Daphnia pulex: one gene and its partner. The protein of the gene in region 2 interacts with the protein of the main gene of each other region in a pairwise test. Links are inferred from orthologs where the notes say so. Each region holds a gene or a part of one and is shown on either strand. Other genes may lie near its edges. The genes, in order: trafficking protein particle complex subunit 6b-like and ras-like protein 1.

Evidence for each region.
Region 1: the proteins of ras-like protein 1 (region 2) and trafficking protein particle complex subunit 6b-like interact in a two-hybrid assay, tested with the Drosophila melanogaster proteins (2 studies listed by BioGRID). The link is inferred for Daphnia pulex from reciprocal best matches to the Drosophila melanogaster genes CG5160 and Trs33.

The regions. Positions count from the first base shown.
Region 1 is NC_060028.1:8,533,394-8,536,489, reverse strand, and holds trafficking protein particle complex subunit 6b-like, read right to left. Parts: upstream 1,735-3,096; 5' UTR 1,580-1,734; coding exon 1,493-1,579; intron 1,436-1,492; coding exon 1,374-1,435; intron 1,311-1,373; coding exon 1,109-1,310; intron 1,042-1,108; coding exon 916-1,041; 3' UTR 807-915; downstream 1-806. Other genes in the region: NADH dehydrogenase (ubiquinone) complex I, assembly factor 6-like, read left to right, coding at 1-561, 621-806; golgin subfamily A member 4-like, read left to right, coding at 1,993-2,082, 2,289-2,390, 2,634-2,912, 2,975-3,096.
Region 2 is NC_060022.1:5,753,000-5,757,605, reverse strand, and holds the start of ras-like protein 1, read right to left. Parts: upstream 2,972-4,606; 5' UTR 2,814-2,971; intron 1,101-2,813; exon of another isoform or gene 1,082-1,100; 5' UTR 1,043-1,081; coding exon 929-1,042; intron 861-928; coding exon 830-860; intron 1-829.

The DNA of each region.
Region 1 (3,096 bases), on a different chromosome or scaffold from region 2:
TCTACGATCGCTGTGAGAGCTTTCAATGTTTCGTTAGCTCAAGTTCAGGATCAAGTCTCACAAGGTACAATTGGCCAAATGAGAATGAAATTCTGGTCAGAAACATTAGAAGCTGTGTATCAAAACACACCACCAGCACAGCTAGTTGCTTTGCAGCTTTACGAAGCTGTCCAACGTCATAATCTCTCCAAAAGGTGGCTGCAAAGGTTGATCTCCAGTAGAGAAAATCACTTGTCTTCCAAAGCTTTTCAATCTCTTTCAAAAGTAGAGGATTATGCAGAACATTCTGTTTCGTCTGTCCTGTACCTTACATTGGAGTCTCTCAATATTAGAAAAGTTGATAGTGATCATGCTGCTAGTCACATTGGGAGAGCTCAAGGACTCGTTACACTATTGAGAGCAATCCCATATAATTCAAAAAGGCAACAAGTGTATGTGCCTCTTGATCTTCTTGTTCAACACAAAGTTTCTCAAAATGATTTTCTAAGAGGTTCTGATGACAAGAAAGTGAAAGACTTGATCTTTGATGTAGCTAGTACAGCTAATGCCCATATTCAAAAGGTAAAGTCATTCTTTATTTGTTTAAATTCGTTTCATTTAAAAACGTCTTTTCTTATTAGGCAAGAACTATTATCCCAAAAGTACCGTCTGAAGCGAAGATTGCGCTAATGCCTTTAATCAGTGTGGATTCGTATTTAGATCAACTGAGGGCAGCGGATTTTAATGTCTTTGATCCGAAATTATCGCAGCGGAACAATCTGCTCCCTTGGAAACTATGGTGGAATAAGTTTAGGGGTAAAATTTAGTATTTCAATTGCATTTATTTAATGTTTCATCCAAGACATCAGCCACCTTGTTATGCATATATAAAACAAACAAACAAAAATAAAGTATGATGTGAACTAATATGATTGATTAAGCTCTTTGGAGGTGGACCTGGAATTTACAAGCTGGCATGGTTGTCACTTCAGCAGTAACAATGCAGGTGAGTCCTAGGGAGGCTAAAGCTCCTCTCAACAAACCACATGTAAAAACTAGATACTGAAATCACATAAAGGAATAATAATCAGACAAAAAGAAATGAATATGGTTGAAAGTTATAAAATACCTTTGGGGCTAATTCTAGATATTGCCTGCTGTTGGATATTGAGGCAAGGAACCTAAACTTGTTATCTTGGAGGACATATACACCTTGATGATTAGTCCTGAGGTTGTCAACTTGCTTCTTGAAAACTGCACTCCAAAAATCTTTACAGATAGCTTTCATGACTTCTAGCTCATCTTTAAATCTTGATAAATCCTTGGTTAGTCTTAGAAATGATAAATATTACTAAGTGTCACAACTGTCACATACAAAAGGATTTTTTCTGTACCTTTCAATGAATCTATAGCCAGTGGAGTAGCCAATTTGTTCCAATTTAGACATAGCTTCATCCTGTAAGAACAGTCAGTGTTTATTCTGAAAAAGCTATGTGAATTGAACAAAACTTACTCCATCTTGAAGGGAGCCAGGATCAGATTTTGTCACTTGACTGACTATTTCCATATGAAGAAAATCAAACAACGCATCATCGGCCATTTCTTATACACGACAAGTTCGAAAGAGGTAAATAAATTATCGAATATTTTAATTCAGACAAGAATATTCATGAAATTAACTTGAACGAATATGTGCAGAGACGTAAACAATAAGGTTTTCTAGCAGACAACTCTAAATTTAGTTTGGGTTGCGGTTGCCCTAGTATGAAAAACTAATTTTGTAGTTTTTTTTTACAATTCAAAAATATTCCTGATCCCTGAAGACATAATAATACGACTACGCTTGAGTAATATAGCAGTTTTTACGTGAAATTATTATTGAAATAATCAATTAGATTTTCTTAAAGCTGAAATAACGTTTGACGGTTTGAGAGCAGCACCAGCGCTTAATGGTGTGAGTGACGTCATACAATAAGTTTTGACAGGTGGATCTTGCTCCGATATTGTTCGATCATGTTCAAGAAATTAAAGGATAAAATTGCTGAGGAAGTAAAGCAATCTCCGTTACGGCTTCCAACTTCTGTGCAGCAACATTTGTCTCAGGTAGGGATTCTATACCGAATTCTCCGTGTTCATTACCATAAGAGTTTTTACTGTCATGGCTTATTGATGATCAAGTCGGTATTTTTAATATCAACTATTGAGGTCTTTAATGTGCAAGCTATTTTGTCTGGTTGTGGGGCATGGAAAAACAAGCTTTTAATTATGCTGCTTTGTGCTTTTACCCTGTTTTCCTTCACAACCTTCAGTACTCTCCTTTCACTCGGGAAGCACATAATGGTGATGTCATAGAAGCCCAACAGATTCAAAGTGGCCTGGGGGAAAATGCTGCAATTCAAAGAACTCATGAGGTAACTTAGAGATGATATTCAATGAATGATGCATTTTGCAAATTAATTTTGCATTTTTTTAAGTAATTTTGTGCACTCATGTTGGCTTTACAGGACTGTGGCTTTAGAAATATAAGAAATATCAGTTCAATTTGTTATTGTTGAAATCTTGCCTTACCTCTGCATCAACATTACATGCATATCGTTTTTTATGTATTTAATTAAATCCATAAAACTCATTCATCTAATTTTAAATCTTCTCAGACATTAGTTGACATCGCCGAAGATGGAGAAGCAGGAATCAACGCATTTAGCATAGCCGACGTTGATAGTCGACCGTCATCACCATCAGGCTCAAACAAAGAAGGACGATTTCAACCTGTGAATCTAAATGAACCCAAACGAGAAATGACGACCAGCACTCCACAATCTGCTAACCATACCGGTCGGCTATCCCGCCAGTCATCACTTAGCTCTGTTTTCAGTGATGTCTCATTTCTTCCTGGTTCTTCAGATCCGACATATCACCCGTATCAATTCCAGGTACTATATCCTCACCAAAGCATCGAATAAACTAACCTAATCGAATTACGTTTCCTGTCCAGTCGGATCTAGAGTCTAATGTAAGCGAATTTGACGATTCCGCCAGCCAGAGTGGTACGCATGCTGTTGATCGAATATCCAAAGAGCACGTTTATAATGCCTACCAGAAAATGAGGGTGCGCTA
Region 2 (4,606 bases):
TATTCTACGCATTCGGCATTCCCATTGCGCGCTACACATGTTGGGGAAACTGTTGACTTCTCGGTAAACAGCTGTCTCCCGACTGCCAAAGCCTCGTCGACGAATTAGCAATCGCGATGGAATGATAGAGCCTTTCTCCGAAGTAATATGCCATGTCGTTGCGCTTTACCATTAGCCTCACATCGCCTTCTCATTTGCATTACTAAACTTGTGCTCTCTCTTGCCCTAGTTACACACTCATATGCACTGCAGCAGTCGTATAGTTGGTTTGACTTGCTCTTTTTTAAAGGATGCAATGATACAATCAGCCGTCGCAAACACACAACTTATACTGTATACGCACGTCCACACTTCTAGAGTTGTAGTAGCGCGTTTGATATTACAAAGGGTTCGTGGAAATAACATATGCCCACCTTATTTACTATCATAAATGTGTGATGTGCGATGTCTGTTTGGTCGTCCTGTCGTTTTACGCCGTCTATTTTATTCTTGAAGGGTTCAATGTGTACGAGGTGATATCAAATACTATTGTCAGTTGACCAACCAACACTGACAGCCCAGACAACCGGCATGAGACATCACAAGGCCTGATGTTTTTCCTGGGTTTTCCATAATATTAACATAGCAACTGCCGAGCATACTGAATACATCAAGTCTATTCAATATTATTGAAAAATTAGACTCCACTCTAGCTGGTGTATCGATTTCGCCATAAATTTAAAAACAATTGCGCTCGGAAGCTTGCTAGGAAAGACTTTGTAACTCGACACATTTTTCTTATCAGCTATATACTCATGATGGACTCAAATAAAAGCTGAAATTATCTTACCAGATTTGCCAACCGAGTGATGACCGAGAACCTGTGCATAAAATAATAACATTGATTAGAAAATGATTAGCAATGAAAATCAGGATTTGTAAACTCTACCATGACTCGCCATCGTGGCCTTAAAGACAACGTTGCCAAATTAAGGCGGTTGACCAACTTGTTGCAGTGCGGACTATCCGACGGGTGTTGCTGGTGTTTGGGTGGCGACGCCATCGATTTTCCCTCCTTGCTTCGACCACGTCTGCTCCAAGCCTGCAACAACAAATTCAAACTTTTTTGTTTGTTTATTTTTAATTTCCAACATCACGACCGCAATCCTAATTCATATGTGCAGAAAAGAGGAATCCAGATAGATCTGTATTATGTTCAAGATGACATCTGAGGTTCGCGGGGTACTATATATTATGTCTTATGTCTCAGTCACGATGATTAGGTTTCCTTCAAAGAGTTACTAGATTTCTCTTTTTTCAATATTCTCGTTTCATTTCGTTCGGTAACAAACTATGCGGAATATATAGCCTAGAGTATTGCGTGAGACGGAAGAAAGCGGGGGAGACACAGGAAATGGGATCTGCTATATACTAGACAGAACCGCCCGCTGGATAACAATTGAGAGCAGCAATGTGAGAAATACGGATGGGATGAAATGGCCTAGGGGGAGGAGGATATCATCGCAGAAAGAGCAAAAGGAAGAGGGACGAGCAGAGACGCGGACGGATATGATGAAACCACCATTTTGATCTTAAAGGTCTGTCAAAGGCTCGGCAGCTGTCTTTGATAGCCTTCGGCTCACACGCCCCACATATAGCGAGCTGCTGATGGGCGCGAGGATCGAACAAGAATGGGGTAGAGCATTTGGAGACAAAACAGGAAATCATCCGCATAACTGTAATACCATTTTCACAGAAAACGTAACATATAGTACATGTGCGATATGTTACGTATAGCACATATACGAGCGGCTGTGGATCGTGGATGATCCACGGTCGCTCTGTGTTTATAGAAGGCGTCTTATTATTAATCTCAATTTCTCTTCAAGACGTACGCTGGACGCTGGACTGCTTCAATGCACTATTAATTGCTGACGTAGCCTTACTTTTCCCCCTCGGTATATAGAGAGTGATATAGCTATTCAGGAGCTCAGCCAGCGACAAAGAAAAATATATCCAATCAACCAACTGGACTTGACTGAATGACGAATAGATGCTCTTTTAGCGGTTATACTATTTATTTTTTGGTTGCGGCATAGCTGGATTTTTGCTATAAGCGCAGAGCAATCTGCGTTGCTTCATCAGCAAGGAAATAAACAAGGAAAAGATTTCCGGAACGCGATACGAATTCAAATAAAAGAATACGGCGCACAAATGGTGAGCTGGAAGTGCGTCATTCAACGTAGTATATTTTTGTGTCTCTTTTTTTCCCCCTTTCGTTTCCAAACGATTTTCGCTGAAAAGCGCAAAGCGATCTTTTTTCCTTGTATACCGGGAAAGGGAGCGTCTTTTTCGGTGCAAGGATATATAATGCGACCCTGGCTTTCGCCATGAAAATAACGGCCCTATAACAACGCTAACCAATAATCAACAATGAAAATCAAATGGCTCTATCCGAGAGGAAAGTACAAAGAAAAGGATGAAAATATGGGAAAACGACCGACGTAGATAGCGGTAGGTAGAGACGGATTGTCGAGGGATATAGACATCAGTTGTGTATATCGACCATGACGATATAGCGCTACCCCATCGCAAGTGAGGCAGAATGATAGATAAATAAAGACAATGATAATAATCCAGCTCCGCGTTTCAATAAGCACAGACTCCAACGAGCTCCACTTGATTGCTCGGAAAGCTATAACGGAAGGCCAACTATTAATTAAACATTGAATGACGAATAAAAAATTGGATTGTCTCTAAAAGAGACAAGTCAACAACTCAGTGAAAATGTGAAACATAATATTATACGTAAGCGGTAGCATAACATCACTCACTGCTGATTAAGTTGTTGATTGATAGAATATGAGTCACAGCTCGCCAGTAACACAATCAACCAAATAACCAAATACCAAAATATCAAATGAGCATCAACCGGCAATCGATGAGAGCAACTTGAGCGTCTTGTTTTCTGATCGAAAGCTCCACCGACACTGGGAGGCTCACCCTGGGAGTGCTAGCATTTGGGCGGATGTCTCCATGGGCTGCGGCTGGATGTAGAGTACAGAACAAGGACATGTTCTTCGACAGGCGCGCGCGCAACAACAGTTTGAGGCCACAATGAATTAAAAAAACTTGAATTGTTTTATTTTCTTCTTTACTTGTCACTACCAACTTTTCAATAATAGTCCAAACAGTATTTGCTAAATTTCCTTAGAACTATTGCTAATATTTCAAAAGCAGATCACCCAAAAACATAAAAATAAAAATAAAAATAGAAAAAATAGTCTGGAAAAACCTACGTAAAAAGATTCTTTTATTCATGTCCAATGATAAAAGTAATTTATCATGATACATAGCAAAATAGTCATTTAGGCTACGTATTCGTTTTTTTTGTTGAAATGTACCTACGTGATACCATCCTACGTGGTGGTACTCCTGCTAAAGAGTTTGCGTTGAATGCAGCATAAATCTGATTACGTGATAAATGGTGTTGATTGGCGACTTTTCTCTATTGAACTGATTCTGGTAAAAGGTTTGACAAAAATTATGACCGAAATATCCAACCGCATTGTGAGATTGTATTGTCAGGCTACTCGAAAAGAAAAGCAATTGTCGGGCTATTCGAAGATAAAAAAAGGATCACGCTCACTTTGTCCTAAGTTTTCCGATTGAGTGTTCATGTGTGAACGCTCTCGTCTGAGGAAACCCTTTTGAAAGTGTCGTGAACTTTACAACAAAGGCAGGCGTTGCATTGTGACACTGCTTGTTTTCTTTCTCCCGCCGTGCATTTTAAAGTAACATAAAAGCCGGAAAGGGATGATGGCTATACGCCAAAGTAAAATCAAAACAGAATAATATTGGCTACGCGTGTCCATATAAAGGCCAATAATAAAAGTAGCCCTGCTATGCAAACTCTAAGAATGTCGGAAATGCAATGATTTCTAGTTGGCTATTTTGATTTCTATGGTTGGCTTCTTTTGTGTAACTTTCCAATGCCAAGGTTTTATATTAACACTTGGAAGAGAATCATAACTCACCAGATTTGTCTAGAAAGTGCCTTTATCAAGCCTATATACGCCGTATAGATCTCCTTTCGTGCGAAATATAAAATAAGCGCCATAAGCCTAAACGGCCGCAGTCAGCAATATTTTTGTTCCATCCTTTCCGCCGAACTGACAAAAAGACCGCATGTATTTGGCCGCGTGCATAAGCAACCCATATTATTATTATTATTATTATTTATTATTTACCTTCCTGTTATTGTTATATGGGTTATATAGCTACCGGTACCGTAGTATTTTACCTGGAAAATCTAAGCGTATTAAATGTGTATCAAATCTTTTTATAGATAAAAGAAACGAACGGGCGGATTGGAAAATAATAAATTTTATTTTATTCACTCAGCTCTTTAGTTCATTTTTTATTTTTGCTTTTAGATCAGTGACCGTTATGTAGCACGATGTTTGATGTTGCAATAGCCTAGCTTAGCCACTGTATGCCTGATTCTTCAGTCACCAAGACAACAACCGTCTTTTCCGTCGCAACGTCTTCAACTACGCACCAGCTCCGGAATCCACGACTCCTACCGGCTATATACATCATCGTCTTATCTCATCGACCGGATTTC